Linked DNA regions of Mus musculus: all the other regions are reported to be linked to region 2. Evidence: microRNA targets listed by miRTarBase, many of them from high-throughput screens and not tested one by one. Region 2 holds a microRNA gene; each other region holds the end of a gene's coding sequence.
What was found. Region 2 holds the annotated microRNA mmu-miR-181a-5p (AACAUUCAACGCUGUCGGUGAGU, at 3,344-3,366, shown strand). A microRNA usually pairs through its seed, bases 2 to 8, with sites in the 3' UTR of a target mRNA and lowers its output. Matches are read on the target gene's strand: a 7mer-m8 pairs with bases 2 to 8, a 7mer-A1 pairs with bases 2 to 7 and ends in A, and an 8mer does both.

Region 1 (5,071 bases), not on the chromosome of region 2:
TTGGGTGAGAAAATCTGGTACCCACTCTGCCTTTTTAGGTGTTAATGGTTGCTGCTGGCGCTAACCTTTCAGCATTTATGTCTGACCCCTGCCCCGCCTTGTCAAAGTCACAGCTGATACTGGGAGTGTTGATTAGTTAGGCCTTTGCCCTGAGAGACTTGTCTCTGCCACCTGGGCTGGGCAGGGTTGAGAACAGGCAACAGGCTAATTAGCTTTATCCTTCTTGCTCCTAGGACCTGCACACAAACAGCCCCAGGTACAGCAAGGGCTCCTACAATGACCTGAGCTTTGTAACACATGCCAACAAGGAGGGCATTCCCATGCGCAAGGGTGAGCCCCTGGGGGAGTTCAACCTGGGCTCCACCATCGTGCTCATCTTCGAGGCACCCAAGGACTTCAACTTCAGGCTGAAGGCAGGGCAGAAGATCCGCTTTGGGGAAGCACTGGGCTCCCTCTAGTCCTCTCGGTTGTGGCTGCCAAAGGATCTTTCCACACAGGAGCATGAGGGTCTTCAGCGGAGCCTCAGGCTGTCTGGGTGAGGGGCACTGCGGGGCTGACCTTATAAGATTGCCTGTCCATGGGTGCAGAGGAGAGGTTCTGGGTCTCTCAGGACAGGACCTAGACCCCTTTTCAGAGTATGGGTGGGTGTGATTTGACCCCAAAGTCACTTTCAGGGGTGTTTTAAATTTTTGTACAAGCCAGAGCCTCCCACCCCTAACTCCTGGCTGTGTACTACCACACCCTCTAGCTGTGACCCCTCCCGTCACAGGGCTCTCTCAATGTGCACAGGGTGAGGTGCCTGCTGGGCACAGACTGTGGATCCACTGTCTTCCTAGAGCAGGCCACATGGCCTTCATAACTGCTTTCTGCTCCCCAATTTCACCCGTCTGCTTTCTGGAAAAGTAAAATCATTTATATAATGCTGAATGTGTTATCCTGGGCTCTGCCAGTGTCTTCTGAGGACAATGACTAATGATGTAGACCTTTGTAGGCTCTAAGAAGCTGGCTGAATCCTTTTGCTGGTAGGCAAAACCAATTAATTACTGGCTTGTCTGGTAGAGTCTGGAGTGAAAGGGCAGGTGGAGGCCCTGCCCTGCAGAACTAGGGGACATGCTGCTATTGGTCTAGGGACTGTGTTGGAGGCAGAGGGTATAGAGGTCAGTACCTAGAAAACAGGTATGCAGGCCATGGGGAACCCAGTGGTAGGGACAAGACCAGAGTTCATGTCGATCTTGGGAATGCCATGAATTTCTCCTGCAGGAGAAATCACTTAACTTTTTCAACTGTATCAGTAGTACCGTATTTTGTATGAAAAGTAGGAGACTTCTGAACAGTAATTCATTTCATTGCAAGACATTTTGAAATTAAAAAAACAAAACAAAAACTACCGTAGCTTTGTATTTTGTTGTTGAGGGTGGGGCAGTGTGTCCAAGGCCTGGTGAAGGATAGCACCTGTCCCCCAGGGATGGGCCCACTAGCACAGAGCCCGTCTCAGGCTGACACTGGGCCTCGAGCTCCTTAGCCAGCTGCTGGATCTGCAGTTCCACCTGGGGACATGGGAGAGAGGGAGGGACAAGGCAAGCTGAAAGGAAGGACAGCCAGGGGCTTACCTCCTCCAGTTCGGTTTTCACCTGCTCTTCTAGATGAAGGTCCTTAGATCTCGGCACCTCCTGGCTTAGCTCCAGCCACCTACGCAGGCTGTTGGCTTGTTGCTGGCATGACTTGGAGATGGGGACACCTATCAGGCTGGGTCCTTGGCACAGCCTCAAGCGAGCCCTTTGAAGAGGTATATTGGCTAATAAAGTGCTTTGAGAGAATGGCCAACAATCTTCTGTCTTTCCCAGCAAACAGCAACTCATGTGAGCCGTGTGAAAACTTCTCTTCCTGTCCCTTTCTAGAGGGATCAGTCTTTTTCACTGAGGTCTCTGAAAACTGCTGTATGTCAACTGTCCCCAGAACACTGGGTATAAGTAGGACCCAGGCCCACGCTGTTTGTCCCTTGTTAGCATTACAGTTACAGTTGTCAGGTAGGTAACAGAACCCAGGCAAGCCTTGCTTGGCGTTCCATAACCTCCAAATAGAAAACAGGACTTCCAGCCCTAGGTAAGGCCAACTTGACCCTTCCCGGAGTAGATAAAGGTGCCAGAGGACACTCACCCGACCCCCTGGAGTTAGACCACACAGAGGAGTCCCAGGCCCTGCTGCAGGAAATGGAACTAACTGCCTTTCCAAGCCACAGCTATTCCCATAGACAGGTCTCAGGGCACCTGGCGGGCCTCACCAAAGGTCCTGCTTGGTGGTTTGGTAGTGCTGTAACTGCTGCTGGATCCCCTCCAATTCAGCCTCAAGCTCTGTGTGGCCTGCAGCAACAGGAAGGTAAGTCTGACCTTGCCCACCATCCCTTTAGGACCCAGGAGACTGGTAGGGCTTTGGTAGAGGGTGGCCCCAGCACCCTGACTTACTTACCTGTAGCCTCGGAGCCATAAACAGGCCCAGCCAGGTGCTTATGGAATCCCTGGGGAGGAGATGGGGATCAAGGTCCCTGGGTAAGGACGGGCACCCCCAAGGCTGAGGCCCAGGGATGCTGGGCTTCACTGACACCTGTAGAGGAGCAAAGGGTGGATGCTGAACAAGAAAGCTAGTAGGGACCCTGGGAAGTGAGTCCTGTCCTGATTCATTGCCCACTGGGCCTTGCAGTGCTGAGGGTGACTGCCCTGCCTGTTGAGCCTCAGGGAAGACTGTTCCAGGGTGGCACTCCTATCCCACCACTCCTGCACCCCCAAGGCTTCTCTTCTGCATGCCACTATTTTTTTAAAAAAATACTTACTTAAATACTAATTTACTGAGACAGAGTCTTGCTATGAAGCCTAGACTCATTTTGAACTCTCCATCCTCCTGCCTCTACTGCCTAAGTGCTGAGATTGGGTATATGTCACGTCATCAGCCACTCTTCACCAGAAACTGCCTCCTTCCTGTCTCCACCCCTCCCCAGTCGGCACTAACTTTTAGGAACTGCCGACTGGCTGTTTTCAAGAGTACCCCCCTGGCTACCTTTGCCCAGGACCCCATGTCCCCTATGCTTTTCCAGGTGACTTTGCCCTGCAGTATAGATACTCATAGCCTTGAAGGCTGATTGAATGGGGACCGACTGCCTCACCAGACACTGGACCCTACCCCAGATTCCATCTTTTAGTAAAAGAATTCTTTCTTAGTGACCCTGGATTCCTCTTCCGTCCTCACCATACCTAGCATAGCAAGTCCCACCAAAGACAGTCCCCAACAGACTGTCACACACACACCAGTGAGAGGCTACAGCCAGAGCACTAGCATGTCTGTCTGATCATACCACGGCTCATGGCTGCCCTAGCACTTAGTGCTCTGAGTCCAGGCCAGATGTGGTGCCCTACAACAGCCCCTCAATTTCTTCCTGTCCCCCAAGACCAGAGGCCCTGCTGGGAGCCCACCTATAAGATTCTTCTGGTTGTCCAGACATCAGTCATTGCTCAAGGGCTGGGGTGTTAGAAGACTAGCCACTGCTGTGTTTTAGGCCTGGTGTGCAGGGCACCCAAGCTTGTCAAGTGACCAAGGTATTCTAGAAATAAGAGTAGTAAGGGTTGGAGAATGAGCACCAAAGGAGAGTGAGTGACAGCGCAGTCGAGAACTCACCCTGGCAGTGCCTCCTGCCGCACGGGGCATGATGGAGGAGGGAGGCAGCAGCTCCAGGCCTGCCATAGGAGGCAGCTTCGGATCAGGAACATTCGGCAGGACCCCAGGTAGGAAGGGTCTTTTCAGGGAAGGGCCTCCCAGCGGGGCCGTGCTTTCCTCCTCCGGGGGCTTCTCTAACCCAAGCAGAAGCAGAAGCTGCTCACACCATGGAACCTTCCCCTGAATTAAAGGGACCAGACATCCAATAAAATATAGGAACACAGAGTTTTCAGTGCCTTTGGACTCACAACCATTCAACTTACTGCTGTTCCCAAGGGTGTACCACTCTGGGGACCTGGCTCCCCAAACGCTCAAGCAGGAAGGATGGACGTCGGGGCTGTTTCCGTGATGAGCGGGCTGCATTGCTGGAGAGAAATAGTCTGTTCCTTGGACTGACAAGGTCTGTGGGGGGACCTAAGATCTCGCGAAGGTTCAGTCCTTGGCATTTTACAGGGAGACTGAAGGCCAGCATGTGCACAGGGTAGGTCTGAGCCTAGACAACTCAACATGACCCTTACAGCCTTCCTGACTGATTCCTGGGTGCTGGAGCTGCACCTGTTTCTTTTGACCTTCACAGCAAGCTGACGGTATGTGTTCTTTCCTATCAGAAGACCCTCTGTCTTAGTCAGGGTTTCTATTCCTGCACAAACATCATGACCAAGAAACAAGTTGGGGAGGAAAGGGTTTATTCGGCTTACACTTCCATGCTGCTGTTCATCACCAAAGGAAGTCAGGACTGGAACTCAAACAGGTCAGGGAGCAGGAGCTGATGCAGAGGCCATGGAGGAATGTTCTTTACTGGCTTGCCTCCCCTGGCTTGCTCAGCCTGCTCTCTTATAGAACCCAAGATTACCAGCCCAGAGATGGTCCCACCCACAAGGGGCCTTTCCCCCTTGATCACTAATTGAGAAAATGCCTTACAGTTGGATCTCATGGAGGCATTTCCTCAACTGAAGCTCCTTTCTCTGTGGTAACTCCAGCTGTGTCAAGTTGACACAAAACTAGCCAGTACAATTGACCCCTTGTCAACTTGACACACAAACACATCACTAGTAAGCCTCAACCCTTACATTCTTATTCATCCCCAAGGTCTAAATAACTTTAAACATCCCACAGTCTTTACATATTCTTAAAATTTCAATCTCTTTAAAATATCCATATCATTTAAAATCCAAAGTCTTTTTACAATTAAAAGTCTCTTAACTGTGGGCTCTACTAAAATAGTTTCTTCCTTCAAGAGGGAAAATATCAGGGCACAGTCACAATCAAAAGCAAAAGTCAATCTCCAACCGTCCAATGTCTGGGATCCAACTTACGATCTTCTGGGCTCCTCCAAGGGCTTGGGTCACTTCTCCAGCCATGCCCT
Region 2 (5,071 bases):
TCCCTAAATGTGCTTGCTACATGTACCTCCCAGAGGTTGGGAGTTTGGTTCCCAGCAACAGGCAGGAGGCTCACAACCACTTGTAACTATAGCTCCTAGGTATGCAATACCATTTTTTTTCTTCTTTTGGACTCCACAGGTACCTGTTCATGTGTAGTGTGTGCACGCAAGCTCACACACTTTAAAAAAAAATTAACAATAACAATAAAGGGAAAATAACCAATGTATACTTTGTGAATGATGAAACTAAAATTAAAGGCTTAAGGGAAATTGAAGGAATAAGGATAATAAAGATCTTGAAAAGATAAAAAGTAGCCAGTTGTGGTGGCATATCCTTTCTTTAATTCAATCACTCCAAAGGCAGAGGCAGGTAAATCTCTAAAGTCCAGGTCAATCAGGTCTATAGGTTGAGTTTCAGGACATCCAAGACTACCCAGAGAAACCCTATCTGGGGGGGGGGAGGGGGGGATGAAAAGTATCTCAAATACAACAGGAAGTATCTCCATATCAAGAACAGGATTCTTGGAATGCTGTACACTGAAGAACAGGTTTTATATTTTAATTTGGTGCAGCAGATATCACTGTTTCTGATTATCTGTTCTAAGTAATATAAAGCTTGACATCTCTTAGGAGACAAAGGCAAAGACCATTTAAAATAAACCTAAGCCAGAGGTTTTAAACTACTACACAGGAAGATACCTTCCTTCCTACCTACCTTCCTTCTTTCCTTCCTTCCTTTCCTTTTTAAAAATTTATTTTACTTATATGAGTACACTGTAGCTGTCTTCAGACACACAAAAGAGGGCATCAGATCTCATTACAGGTGGTTGTGAGCCACCATGTGGTTGCTGGGAATTGAACTCAGGACCTTTGGAAGAGCAGTCAGTGCTCTTAACCACTGAGCCATCTCTCTAGCCCCTATATTTTCATTTCTTTGGGCTTCCATTTCACAACAACCGAACTCAGCAAAGATTACAAGAGAAGAATTTTGGGGCTGGTGAGATGGCTCAGTGGGTAAGAGCACCCGACTGCTCTTCCGAAGGTCAGGAGTTCAAATCCCAGCAACCACATGGTGGCTCACAACCATCCATAACGAGATCTGACTCCCTCTTCTGGAGTGTCTGAGAACAGCTACAGTGTACTTACATATAATAAATAAATAAATATTAAAAAAAAAAGAGAAGAATTTTGATGGAGAATGAAATAAAGTGATGCAGAATGTAAACAATTCCATTTGAACCAAATTCTCGCTGATTTTTTTTTTTTTTTCCCTCTCAAGAAGTGCCATTTGGCTACTTTAAAAATGAATCTTCATCACTGGGCATTGTGGCACACACCTTTAATCCCAGCACTTGGGAGGCAGAGGCAGGTGAATCTCTGAGTTCTGAGTTCGAGGCCAGCCTGGTCTACAGAGTAAGTTACAGGACAGCCAGGGCTATACAGAGAAACCCTGTCTCGAAAACAAACAAACAAACACAAAAAAGAATCTTCAGCTAGGTCAACCATCAGTATTTAAACCCAAAGCGGCTGGAGAAATGATGGCTCATTGGTTAAAGAGTACTGGGGGCTGGAGAGATGGCTCAGCAGTTAAGAGCACTAACTGCTCTTCCAGAGGTCCTGAGTTCAAATCCCAGCAACCACATAGTGGCTCACAACCATCTGTAATGAGATCTGATGCCCTCTTCTGGTGTGTCTAAAGACAGCTAAGGTGTACTCATATATAATAAATAAATAAATCTTTAAAAAAAAAAAAGAGTACTGGCTGCTTTTCCAGAAGACTCAAGTTTGATTCCCAGCACCCATATGTGGGCTTATAACCATCTAACTCTAGTTCCAGGGAATCTGACACATTCCTCTGGCCTTTGAGATTATCAGCCATATACTTAAGCAAACACCCATACACATAAAAATAATAAATTTAATAAATACATTTAAGAAAATATTTAAACACAAAGTATCCTAGATTAGATAGATATTAACCTCAATTCAGCCAGCAGCTCTACAAAGCTTCTATGTTGCTTAAAATAAAGCCAATATTCTGAAAAATGTTTAATTAGTTTTCAAGACTTTTCATAAAAAATATTCAATAAATAGCCAGGCATGATGATACAACCTTTAATCTTAGCACTCAGAGGAAGGCAGGCAGATCTCTGAGTCTGAAGCAGCCTGCTCTACATAAAGAGAGTTCCAGATAAGGGGAGGGGAAGGAAGGGGGAGGGGAAGAGAGGGAGGGATGGGAAGGGAGGAGAGGAGAAAAAAATGAGGAGGAAAAGAGGGAGGGAGGGGGGAAAAGAAAGTCAATAAGTAATAAAAAATAACCACCCAAAACAAAGATCAGATACATCTGGCATTTTAGTTGCTCTGTGTTCTTCTAAAGATTTTTATTTTTTAAGTATGTATGTATGTATGTATGTATGTATGTATGTATGAATGAATGTATGTATGTATGTATGTATGTATGTATGTATGTATGTATGTATGTGTGTGTGTGTTTGTTCAAGTGCCTGTGAAGGCTTGAGTTGACAGATCCCTGCAGCAAGAATTGGTAGTTACAGATTGTGGTTAAGACAGGTGCTGGGATCAAAGTCCCGCCTAGAAAAGTACAAGTTCTTATCTGCTGAGTCATCTCTCCAGATACACTCTCTGTGCTCTAGTACACATAGAATTTTTACTTTTCCTATATGGGGAAAAAAAATCATGGAGCATCACTAGCACTTCTGTGGTAATTTAGCAGCCCATGATTCTCAGCTACTGAGTTTTGTTTTTCATCTTTTTCTCTGAAATATATGACTTTAGATGTATTTTCTACTATTACAGGCAAACAAGAAGGAATTTGCTTGTTTGATTTAGCTCTGCAGTAAAGGTTCAAATCTGAGACTGGTAAAGGAAGGAGAAAGCAACATATCCAACCAATACTGGAACAATGAACTCTGGTGTTCAAGTTCTGGCTATGGAACTCCGGGTAAGTCTCTGTTTCTTAAGGAAAACACGGTTGGAATTAAATATACAAATCCTACTACACATAAGTCCCCAGCATGTGTTATGGTCTTTCTTGTTTTTGTACATTAATAATTAAAGTATTACTACAAAATTGCTATATTGATGTTTTCAGAATGATAGCATTGAAAAATATTTCCACAGATATCCACTTTTAGTCAGCAATGTAAACTGCAGTCTCACAATCCTGCAGCTCATTTCTGCTTTATGCAAACTAACTTCACAGTGTAAGTACTGTTAACTTGAAATTTTGGGAAGAATGTGAGAGACCCAACAGCAGTGGTCCTTAGAATATGAGAGCAGGCCAAAGATGGGCAACCAAGCCAGCCTTAAGAGGACTCCATGGAACATTCAACGCTGTCGGTGAGTTTGGGATTCAAAAACAAAAAAACCACCGACCGTTGACTGTACCTTGGGATTCTTACAGACAACAAGTTTCCTGAAGCAAAGGAGTAGGCTGTACAGATATATCATGTGACAGACATCACAAGATACAGTCCTGTGGCCTCTTTTCTAAAGGGAACCAGCAAGTTTTTTTTTTAAGCTTCCATGTATTTATATTGTCTATTTTTTGTAATTTCTTGATAAATAAGTGTTTCATTTTAACAATTTATGGGAAGTGCCATCATAGTACCAAATGCACTCAAATATCTTCTAGAAATGTGTCATTCTAGTCAGAAATAGGGTGTATTAAAAATGTCTATTTACTGTAGGAAAAAAATCTAGTTAAGTCTTTTATTCTCATTTCTTCTACGTCCTTTCAAATTTTTGCTTTAGGGTCAAGAGATTTACTCAGCAAAAATACTCACAGAGTTACTCACTGTCTATACAAATCATATTGTGCCTCCAGTTTCAGTTACTGCGGTTAGGGATTTGACATCTCCATGAGAGAACCAGATACATTTCCATCTCCATGTGCTAATTTAAGGAATTCTGGGTCATCTCTGAGCCTCCGTATCCAAGTATGTTTTCTCAAATGTAGAATAGGAGAGGAGAGAACCTCAGAGTTTTAATTTAATGAGAAGATATATGAGGGTACTTTGAACAGTTTCTGGCTCACAGCAAATGTTTACTACAAAAATTTTTACTTAACTGCAATCATAATCTATACTGCTTTACCTTGAAAAGGGCACTTAACGTCTCAGCTTGAAACAAAAGATGAAGCAATGTCTCTGAGGGCTCCTTTACAGACATCAACATCCAAGTCTCAGCCCATGTGATCAGAGCTACTTACAAGGTTCTCACATAGTGCCTTCTTCCTCACAACTTTTCTGTCTTGAACAAGTTCTTGCTATACAGTCAAGGTGATCTATAATTATGAGTCCACAACCATACAGATGACTAGTTACTAACATACAACAGACTTCAAAGAACCATAGTGGGAAGAAGAGCCAGGAGATAGAAAAGACCAAGACAATTTCATCAAAAGGAAACATTGATGGCTGCACTCAACATTCATTGCTGTCGGTGGGTTTGAATGTCAACCAACTCACTGATCAATGAATGCAAACTGCGGGCCAAAAAACGCAAAGAAACAAAAGTACTCCCAGAGAGTCACCAGAGTACGGAAGTACTGCTCCAGGTGGGACCTCAATCTTTTATCTAAAGTCTCTTTAGTTTCTTTGCTTCTAATATGGAAGAAGCTCTATAATTCCTAGTATTTTTTATTTTCTTCTCAAATATTCCAAGTTTTGGGAAATTTATATTATCACAGGCAAAAGGATTAATATGCCTTGACATCATAATATTTAAAAATAATACTTAAATATACATAATTATTTTAAAATAAAAGTATATGAAAAGAATTTAAATCTATCCTCATCTCAAATACATTCCTTCTATGAAAACTACATAAAAACATCCATTTAATAGTATTACTCACACAACATAAAGAAAAATTTTATACCTTTGAAGACTTATCTACATGTATAAAAACAGAGGCAAAACTGTAATTCAGGGGAAGTTCAATGGCAACAAAAGGAACTCACTGCTCTTCAATTTACCTTTACACTCAGCTATATACTTTAAGCTTAACAAACCACATTTACTATTATTTTGGCTATTTGTTAATTGT
Region 3 (5,071 bases), not on the chromosome of region 2:
AATCAAGCATTGCTCCTCAAGTGCCATCCACTAGCTTTTGTTTGTTTGTTTGGTTGGTTTCTTGGTTGGTTGGTTGGTTGGTTTGTGGTTTTCTTTCTAGGCAGGGTCTCTCACTGGCCTAGAGCTTGCCAGGTGGGCTAAACTGCCTGGCCAGTGAGCCCTGAGAATCCTCCTGTCTCTGACTCCTCAGGGCAGAGATTATTAGAATAGTCCACCACACCATTTTTGTTGATGAGTGTTCTGGGGCTCTAACTTGGGTCCTTATGCTTCCAAGATCAACGTGTTAGCAACACCCCTTCCTCGGGCTCTGCAGGTTTAGCATTTGTATCCTTCATATGGATGCTTTCAGTGGCTCCAGAGTATCTAGGGTCATCAACACACATAGCATAAGGGCTGCCTTCCCAAAGGTCCAGAATTAAAGCAACACACATATCTTGGATAAGCTAAAAACCCCACAGCATTTGATATGTGCTATCTCTCCTAAGCAGGTAACATTTTCAGCATAAACTTGTCAGCTGGGGGGCAGGGGAGTGATGAAGCTGGAGTTCAACTTCCGAGCAACCCAAAATAAAAAGCCCGCATCCCAAATTATTAAAAAATAATTTTTATTTCATCCAAAGCGAAGCTAAATCCAAGTCTGCAATGCAAAATGTATTGTAGAGGCAAGACAACCTAATGGCATTCGATCTGTGCTTAGACGCAAGCGCTGGGCATGTGCAGGTCGGTGCCTCCTGGAGGCTCCCACGGCCCACCACTGTATTGCCTATAAAGTTAGATAGGAAAATTGACTATGGGTACTGTTATCCAAGCCAGAGGACTAAACCATGCATAAGATAGTCAAAAGCACTGCACATCCAGTGGGAGATGGGAGAGCAGGGACTCCAACCTGGGACAAAATAAAATGTAGCAAGCTAGAGGACTTCCCCACAAATCCCTCATTTGGGCATCCTTGCCCCAGCCCTCCGGTGGCAGTCGTCTGTCACCCTGACATGGAGTCACCCAGTAGAATCCAGGAGCATAGCCGTTCATTTATGTCTCTTAACCCTTCTTCAGTCTCCAGTTCAGGCTACTGAAGATGCAGAGCCCCACCCCCAACCCCTTCATCCCACATCACCCCTCGCGTGCACAGCCCACCCTCTTCTGTCATGCCTCTGCACCCGCAGACTGACTAGGCACGCCTTTCCACCTCCCACACACCACAAGCACTCCACACAAGTGCACCCTCACCTCCCACCAGCAGGATGCTCTTGCCTCCCTGGCTCCACAGAAGCGAGTCAGTCAGATACGTGACATTCTGCTGCCCTCCTGTCTGTCATTCTCCTGGGCCTTCCACACTGCAGGTTGATTCCAGTTGCCCTCTGCTTAGTTTCTACACCAAGGGATCTGAGCCCTCAAGGGCAGAAGTTTATTTGGAAGTCAAGAGTAAGGTACTTGTGCTTTGTCTTTGGTCTCACTGACATCAAGGTCAACACAACTGCATGGGTCCAGGTTTCCCCAAAGTCAACCGTATGAGAGGTGCTGTAGCCCACTGGCACCGGGACCAACCTCAGCAACCCTGAGATCGCTATTTGAAGACTTGCCTGTCAGAGGGTCTGGCTAGAGAAAATGGCTTTGCAAATATACATTCTAACACAATCCGTGGTAATGCCTGCACAGGCATGCCGCTAGCACTAGGCCAGACATTCTTTGTTAAGAGGACTGAGATTTGTGCTCTTAATCCCTATCCATTAAACGCTAGTATTTATCACAGGCATTGGGGCAACAACAATATAAAAAAGTACTCCCATAGTCCCAGGTACCTCCATCAAAAAAAAAAAAGAACTGGGGACAAAGATGCTTTAAGCATCTGAGTCATGATGCCTAAGGTTGCTAAAGGAAGAAGAATGAGGCATATGCATATTATTGGGATGCAAACCAGAGATGAGGACAGGATAGATGTGGAACATTCTCGCTGGTTATTAGCCTTGTTTCCCAGTGCCTTTCCAAGCCAGGCCAAAAAAACAAAAAACACAAAAATCTCACCAAGCCTCACTGCAGTCCTGTGAGGTAGGTATTATTTCACCCTTTGGGTAGATGGGAGAAGCTGCAAGGGCTGCCTATAAGCTGACAGTGAGCAGGAAGCTGGGAAGGGAGAGTCCCTCCCTCTCTTCTGCTCTATGCCTTGGCTTCCTCTCAGGAAAGCAAGAAGAACCCCCAACACTTGGCCTCTTCCAGTGTTGGGGGAGAAAGCAGTTTTACATGAAGGCAGCTGGAAGTTTCCTGAATGGCTGGAGGCTCGGGTGCCATGTTGGTTCTCAGAGCCAGGTTACTCTAAGCAGGGTGTGGGCTCACACCTGTCATACCAGCACTGTGGCAATGGAGGCAGGAGATTGGGAGTTCAAGGCCAGTCTTGGCTACATAGAGAGGTGGAGGCCCGCCTGGGCCACACATGAGACTCTGCTCAAATAAATATTTAAAAAGCAGGAGACGGGCAATTTTTACCCAGCTCACAATGAGTTCTGGGTAAAGAAGAATGGGAAGAGTGGAGGCAACCCCAAGAGCCCCTTGGCTTGGGCAACAGACACTAGCCAAAGCCACAGTCACCTACAGATCCTACTGTGCCTTAGTCTCCCCCAACTTCCATTTGGGGGGGGGAACCTTCAGCTACTCCTGGGCAGAGCCTGTAGCAGTCCTTACACCCCCCTGAAAAGAGGACTAATCTCCATCTTCTGACATTAAGGGTATCAGAAATCTGATGAGGAAGAGGGACTTTGGGTATCCCATTTCATACATCACAGAAACCCTAGCTAGCACTACGGTTTGTACACGGTCAAACCCATCTGAAGGTCCCACATCAAATGCCATCCTATCTCCATGTCAGGGACAAGAAAGGGTGCCCTCAGGTGTCATCAAGGCTGCCACCAACCCCGGCTTCATGGTCTCTTCCATGGCTTTGGGGTAAGGAGCTGGGGAGCCCCGCCAAAGTCACACCAAGCTGTGCAATTAATTCAGGGAGTGTGAGCCGAAAGAAAAGGGGCTCAGAACCAGGACTCGAGGAACTAAGGCACAATCTAGCCCCACACTCAGGGGGTGTGCAAGCCGGCTCTGCCAGAAGTCAAGAGAAGGTGTGAGTACCTTCTCCCAGCTCCTCCTCAGCCTCAGGCTAGGTGAGGAGTCAGCCCAGCTGGGCAAAAAAGAAGCTGGAAAAGCCAAGGGCCTTCTCATCTGGAAACAAGGGTCCCTGAGGCAAAGGCAGACCCAGAGCTGGGGGGCCAGGAGCAGGGGAAGGCCAGGCATGCTGGATGGACACAGAAGGAGCAAAGGTATGGGATGACAAGTCCTAGGAAAGCATCCCTCAGGGAAGGTGGCAATGCCAGCTGTTTCAAGGGAAGGGAAGAAGAGTGAAAAACTGAGCTCCGGAAGTGCCAGGGTGGCATGGTCCTGCCATGCCAAGGACAAGGGCTGTCAGTCTTGTAGGGCTGGGGTAGACATTCCAAAGGCTAGGAGACCAGGGGCACTGTTCTCCTGCCTCTGAAACCCAAAGAGCAAAGCCAGTATAGCTGCAAATAGCACCCCAGTGCTCCAGGAGAGTGGAGGCTGCCCCCTCCCCACAAGCCTCCTCAGCAGCTGCAGCCCAGAGAGCAAAGACAGACTAGGCAGGCAGCAGGAGGAGGCTGGTCGGGGAGCCAGGACAGTGTGGGCAGGTGTTCTAGGGTAAGGGAAAGAGAAGTCCTCTCTAAAGGAACTTCCAGAAGCCTGATATTCTTCAGAGCCCAGCTTGCCTCTCACAACTGCCCCCCCCCCCCCCAGAAGACACCATTCTAGACTTCTTGTGCATTCCCAGCTTCTGAAGCGGTCACCCTCTACCCATCTCCAGACCCCAGCTTTGGAAGCAGCCCTCACTGGTCACCCCGATTTCCTGGTGAAAGATCAGAAGGAAAACTGAGGAGAAAACAAGGCTTCACAGAGGGGAAAATCTAAAGGAGACCCCACGTGCCCAGGATCCGGGAACCAACCTTCCACACCACTCCAGCCCCTCCCTTCCCTGTCTTCAATCTCCTGTAGGCTTCCTCCCCCAGTCAACCAACCCTTGTCCCTAGGAAGCCCTGGCTGGGGAGAGAACGGCAGCTGGGCAGGGCCAGGTCCTTCCTGCTCAGAAAGAACAGTTTGGGCCAAGCAGCACACATCTCAGATAGGACTTGGCATCAGGATCACCATCAGAAAGCGAGGCTCCCTGCCCTGCTTGGCCCGAGCAGGGCCTCACACTTTTGTGGGTGGCTTCTCTTCTGCCTTGGAGCCAGGCAACCCGTTCTCTGTGTTGTCATTCCCAGAGGAACTCACGAGACACTCCTTCCTGGAGGGGGGAGAGAGTTGAGAGGAACAAGAGATGAAGGAGTGGGTGCATAGCTCCCTGTGCCAATCCTGCACCCTCTCCCTGGCCTTTTCTGTTCTGTTCCAGAGATAGCCTACCTTGTCACCTGTCTTGCTGAGAACACAGCTCTCTAGTGTCCTTCCCCTTTCTGGTCCCTTTTTCTTGCTCTGGCCCTTCCAAGATTCCGCACCTGCTGCTTTAAAGACAGCCTGATGCTGTTCCAGAAAATTCTGGGCCAGGCTCATACCCTCTCTACCTGCCCATCCTTCTCCTCCTTCTAGTGAGGAAATAGACTGAATCCAAGACCTCACACATGCTAGGCAAGCCCTGTATCAGTTAGCAGCATCCCTGACCCTAGATGCCTATTGCCATAACTGAACTTATCTTAGGACGTTCTAGGAGGTCATGTCACCCTTTGGGGTTTTAGTTTAGTTTCATTTAGGTTTGGCTTATGAAAACAGGGCCTCATAGTGTAGACAAGGCTGGTCTTGAACTCAAGGGGATCTTCTAAGTGTGACTCTCAACCACTGGGATGGCAGGCACGAGCTGCCATGCTTGACTGCCAGACATTGTTTCTGCCTCCCCCAACTGAATTATCAGAACTTCTCCTCTCCCTAAAAGAGTCCCTCCATTCTAGAGTCTCTTTCGTGAACTCACATTTTCTATGATAGAAATGAAAATATAGAGGCTTCCCGAATCTGATGGTAGGTTTTAAGGCAG
Region 4 (5,071 bases), not on the chromosome of region 2:
GTCGGAGACTAGCCTGGGCTACATAGTGATTTTGAAGCCAGTCCAAGCTACATAGTAAGACCACGTCTCAAAAGTAAAACAGCCCTATCATCTTTGAATTCTTTTATAAATTGTACAAGGTAGGCGAACATTAAGGTTTATAGTTAGTATTTTCAGATAGTTTTGGATTTAGATAGAGTGCTTTAAAAGTATTTTCTTTTCATAATTAGTTATTAGTTATAGGGTTCCTTAGGTACTGCCTTTCTGCTGAGCAGAATCTGTAGCTGAGAGTATCAAGGTTGGTAAATTTATTACTAATTCTGAAGGCTTTTCAGGGTAGCAGACTATGGTTCTTTTCAAAGGGAAAGGTAATAGGGGGGTCCCAGAACTGTAGTTGTAAGGGTTGATGCTAGGAGAGTCTGATTGTGTGCATATCACAGCCTTTGTTCTTTATTCTTAACAGGAAATCGACGGGCAGGCCCTTTTGCTCCTTACCCTTCCCACTGTTCAAGAGTGCATGGACTTAAAGTTGGGCCCCGCCATCAAGCTTTGCCATCACATAGAGAGAATCAAGTTTGCTTTTTATGAGCAGTTTGCCAACTGAGAAGGACGAGCGACTGAGCTGGGTCTTTGAAGCACAGTGCAGCAAACCCTTCGCCCTGCTCTGCAGGTGACTGCAGGAGTCCTGGGCTGTCCTGTCGGCCTGCAAGTGGTGGCTTGCTATCTTTGCACTTTCAGGGAAGGAGGACCCACACTGAGAAAGCAAAAACAGCACAAAAATGGCTCTCTTACAGTGGAAATATGGACTTTTGTTTAGAAGATTCCAGTTTAAAAAAAGTTGTGAGAAAACCGTAAAAGTCTGAATTACCATTAATGGGACCTGAAAACAAAGAATGATGGTGACAGCTGGACAGCACCAATTTGGTTATTTTCATTCTGTTCCTTCCCTCTGTAGATTGGACTCTGTTCTCTGCTTTCTCTTTCTTGAAAAGAGAGGACATAGCTTTAAGTCAGCACTGGTTGGGACTGTGCCTAAGGCACATCAGTGCTTCATTGTTGTGTTTTTAAGCTTTTTTAAATTAAAGCAGTTCATTTGGGGATAATTAAGTGGCTCTAGGGTTTTGAATGTATAGTCACACTTTGATCCATTTTAAATCTATTCTTAGGAGTTCCTTGGTTTACTACCTCTGTTGATGACTGCGCTTACAGCCATGAGTGACATTTTTTTGTATGATGCCATTTTTAAGCTGAATGCTAAAACTATGACAGAAATTAGAGAAGGCACTGCCTGCTTTCTTAAAGATATCATGCCGGCACTTACACCATCAGTCCCTTAACCAATTTGTCCTAAGAATTCTACTGTTGTGTCCTCCATCATGACCCGGTTTTGGTCACCATTGTTAAGTGGCTTTACAAAGACCAATGGGTAATTACTCTCTCCCTGTTAGTTCTGAAAAGTATTTAAGTGGCTTTATTTTATGTTTATTCTTCTGTTAGAGTTGTTTAACTACCTCTGTTTTATTTCTGGAGTTTCTGCTCTCAGTGAAAAATCAGTACGTGTTCTTTGGACCCACTGTCAAGCCCATTTTTCTGGTTTTCTAGGTATGTCCAGGTAGACACATAGCACAGAAATGTATCTTTGGGGATGGCACAAAGTATGAAGTTCCTTAATAGTGTCCTCGGTTATGAGTACTGAGAGGTAGTTGAGTCTATGACAAGCTACCCCAAATGTCCCAGATCTTATCCTTCTGGAAAGCTAAGCAGGGCCTGGTTGGTACTTGGATGGGAGAGGTGGTTAAGGAGTCTGGATATCTCTGTCTAGCCGCATTTATGCCTGTCTTCAGTTAAACCAACTTAAATTGAATGTAATTACAGTCTGAAGATTCCCACTCAGTAGCTCATTCTTTTGAAGTTTTTTCTTTTTCTTTCTTTTTTTTTTTTTAAATTAAACTCAAGTTGACATGAAGTTCCAGGTGAATTTTCACTTTCAATGGCATTGTTAGCTACTATAGAAGAACAGCACTTGCTCTGCCACAGCTGTGAGTAAGGAAAGATGTGTGTACACAGTTGCCTCTTTTGCTGTTTTCCTTGTTGATTATTTATTTATTTATTTATTTTTGATTACCCTAATTCCTACAGATTTATACCCTAAGCATTTTTCCTCAAGAATTGAAAATGTTTTAAAACTGCAAACTGAGTAACTTCTGAACAAGTATACAAATATAAGGTAATATTATTACAAATTTAAATTGTGAATTTTTTTTTCTTTTCTCAACTCAACCCCCACCTGTTTTTATGGACACTGGGAAAGTCTGTAGTCTGAATTCTCTTCTTCATTGGATAACCATCTAACGAAGTCTGAAAGCAGTAGCTCTTCATGTAGGGACCAACAGGAGTATCTGGGAGGAAGCTCCATTTACGTAATGGTTCATTTATTTGAGCTTACTTAGAGATCCATCTTCTAAACATGTGATTCTTTCATGCCATGAAGAGAAGCAGGCGTGATACTAGGAAACGGTATTGGCAGACTGACAAGCCGTGGCTCTCTTCATAGAATCTCCTGAGACTGCAGGAGTTGAGTCACCGATACAAAGGGAGTCTTGTGAGGACATAAAACCTATGCCTGTAGGATCTTACATTGTTACCTTAGTAAAATGAAAGGTGACAGCAGTGGCTGTAACTTACTTTCTTCTTGACTCAGATGACAGAATGTAGAACTGTCAGAGTTGGCAGGGATCGTGCCTGAAAGGGGAAGCACATGACCGCCCCGCCCAAGAGGGGCTGGGGGGGGGGGCAGCCATAACTCTTCAGTCTCTGCTTTCTCCTATAGGAAGACCAGCCGTGAGTTAGACAAGAGGGGGCTTCCCTAAATATTTCTTGGCACTCTTATTGGGATGCAGTGTACTTGGCAGTCACATCAAAGAATTATCTTCCCCATCCCTTCTCACAGTAAGAGGATAATTCTATGAGAATTTTGCAGAGGACTTTTTTAAAGTATAAAATTGTAATCCCAGACTGGGTGTGGTGATATATATACCTTTGATCCCAGTGCTTGGGAAGTGGAAACGAGGCTCACAGTGAATTCTAGGCCGGCCTGGGTTATATGAGACCCTGCCCTTTTTAAAAACTGTTTTTATTTCATGTATCAAAGAGGCAGGGGTTAGGCTGGGTAGCAGTTCCGATGCTGGGATGGTTTAAGTTCGATAATAGCTTGCATTGTTGGGGTAAGTGGCTTATGTTGCTCATTTGTATGTGAAGTCTGTTTCTGAGACAGCCAGCCTCAAGCTTTTTAAAGGTATGCTGTGAGGAGAGTGTGTGGAGTTCACCTGCAGCTGTCCTCATAGCTTGCCTGCAATCAAATTTTTTATGATCCATCTTTAACTTGAGTTGACAAACTTAGAAATACATGAATGGACTATACTGTCCTCCCAGACTTGGAAACTTAACTGACCAAAACTAGACTTTACAGCTATATTGGTCTTCTAGGGAAACCTTCAACTTTATGTACAGATTGGCTCTGAAATTTTGATCATATCTGCTGATTTCCATTGTGAAACATCTTCATCCTTTTCAAATACAGGGAATACATTAATAGAGCCTTTTAATTACACCTTTAGCCTTTCTTTAACAATTTATACAGCTCCCTGTTTTTATAATACAGGTATAGGAAGGGTACTGGCCAAGCTCTGGAAATGAAGATCTTGGTAAATGTTTATTATTGTATTTAAAAGAGGCAGACATAGAAAACCAGTTTAGAGTTTGACCTTTGTATGTCTCTTTGAGAAATAAAAGTATTTTCACTGAGGGAAAGGGCATTAGACCAAAGTTTCCTGAAGACTTGAATACATTTCACATGCTCTTTAGAACCACTTTAGTTACTGATGTGATGCCTGAATAAGGCAAATAGGATGAAAACATCCCACTCCTCTCAGCCCAACATTGTTTCCAAGGGACACAGAACATCGGGGGAGGGGGGAGTCTAAATGAAAGGTAATAGCAGTATAACAACTTGTAAAATCATGAAAACTGTCACTGGGACTTACTCTTAGTTGGCACCTCTCACCAGAGCTTGTCCAGTTTGAGTGATTGCCAACAGTGCTGGGAGAGTCGTTAGACTGGAAATAACAGAGTGTGAACTTGCCTTACATACTGGGCATATTCCATGTGTGTGGAAAACCACCCGAGTTCCCAAGTGTTCTTATGAAGTGAAGTAGAGAACTTGGGCAGACAAGATGCTCCCTTTATAAATTTGGATGTCTTTGGTCCTGGGATCTTTGTAAGTTCTGTGTCTTATGACCATGATGCTGGCTCAGAAACTCTGTAAGGACAGAGCCTCCTGTACAAACAAGAAATAATAGTCACTTTCCTGCTATTGGTTTTATTTACTTTAAATGTTTTACTCATGAACTTCGATGATTGCTTTGTATGAGAATGTATGTACTTGGGGAATTTGAATTTATTCTAATAAGCTACCTATTGACCTGGAGTTTTGTTGTAAGAACTCTAAACTCAAAGTCCAGTCCAAATGGATCTGGTTCCAGGTGCACTCTTTTGGGGTTGTTTTCCTTACTGCTTGTCTTCAGCCACATGGGTGACTTTGCTCTGGGAACGGCCTTAGGCACACAGGTAGTGGGTGTCAATGCAGCACATGCTGATTTTCTTGCCGCTGTGTTTAAGAAATCAAAACTTTCTAAGAACCAGCAAAACCGGGATGAAGGTTTGTAGGGGAGGTTGGGGGATTAAAAAAAAGCAGGTCTAAAACTCTCATAATGCTTTTTTCTGACAAGTCTGGTGTGGTAGGTACCTACCATGGTGAAGTGTTGTGAAAAAAAGACAAGCAACAGATTGACCAGACGGTTGTCACTACCAGCAGTAAAGTGCAGAGTGGAGCCACAGGGAAGCAAGGAAGGAAGAAAGGGAGGGAGGGAACTTGTGTGAGAGGGGAACTGCTCTCAAGTGGAAACTCAGGCAGAAGGGTTCCTAGATGGCTCATTCTGTCTATGTCTAGCTCAAGTCACAATTATTAGCAGAGGCTGAGAAGAAGCAGACAGTCTCTAGTCCTTTGTGAGAATCTCTGAGGTTTTAACTGCTC

Region 1: miRTarBase lists Pisd as a target of mmu-miR-181a-5p. Seed matches in the 3' UTR shown: 7mer-m8 at 924-930.
Region 3: the mRNA of Scn4b is a reported target of mmu-miR-181a-5p. Seed matches in the 3' UTR shown: 7mer-A1 at 1,621-1,627.
Region 4: the mRNA of Sfmbt1 is a reported target of mmu-miR-181a-5p. Seed matches in the 3' UTR shown: 8mer at 1,102-1,109, 8mer at 1,840-1,847, 7mer-A1 at 2,687-2,693 and 7mer-A1 at 4,409-4,415.

The regions. Positions count from the first base shown.
Region 1 is chr5:32,732,617-32,737,687 of GRCm38, reverse strand. Pisd (phosphatidylserine decarboxylase) reads left to right here. Exons shown (of 8, transcript NM_177298.3): 8 at 234-1,374. The coding sequence ends at 458. It overlaps Gm52771 (a long non-coding RNA gene), which reads left to right and starts at 4,067. Exons shown (of 2, transcript XR_003955740.1): 1 at 4,067-4,292. It also overlaps the pseudogene Gm2420.
Region 2 is chr2:38,849,398-38,854,468 of GRCm38, forward strand. It overlaps Mir181a-2 (microRNA 181a-2), which reads left to right and starts at 3,338; the gene lies at 3,338-3,413. All of the region lies in intron 3 of Nr6a1 (nuclear receptor subfamily 6, group A, member 1), which reads right to left. Nr6a1os (a long non-coding RNA gene) reads left to right here. Exons shown (of 7, transcript XR_866167.2): 3 at 2,818-2,962. Mir181b-2 (microRNA 181b-2) reads left to right here and starts at 4,433; the gene lies at 4,433-4,521.
Region 3 is chr9:45,149,673-45,154,743 of GRCm38, reverse strand. It overlaps Scn4b (sodium channel, type IV, beta), which reads right to left. Exons shown (of 5, transcript NM_001013390.3): 5 at 589-4,333. The coding sequence ends at 4,240. Among named protein-coding and RNA genes, the nearest start is that of Scn4b, 14 kb to the right of the region's middle.
Region 4 is chr14:30,817,266-30,822,336 of GRCm38, forward strand. It overlaps Sfmbt1 (Scm-like with four mbt domains 1), which reads left to right. Exons shown (of 21, transcript NM_001166532.1): 21 at 443-5,071. The coding sequence ends at 583. Among named protein-coding and RNA genes, the nearest start is that of Stimate, 5.8 kb to the right of the region's middle.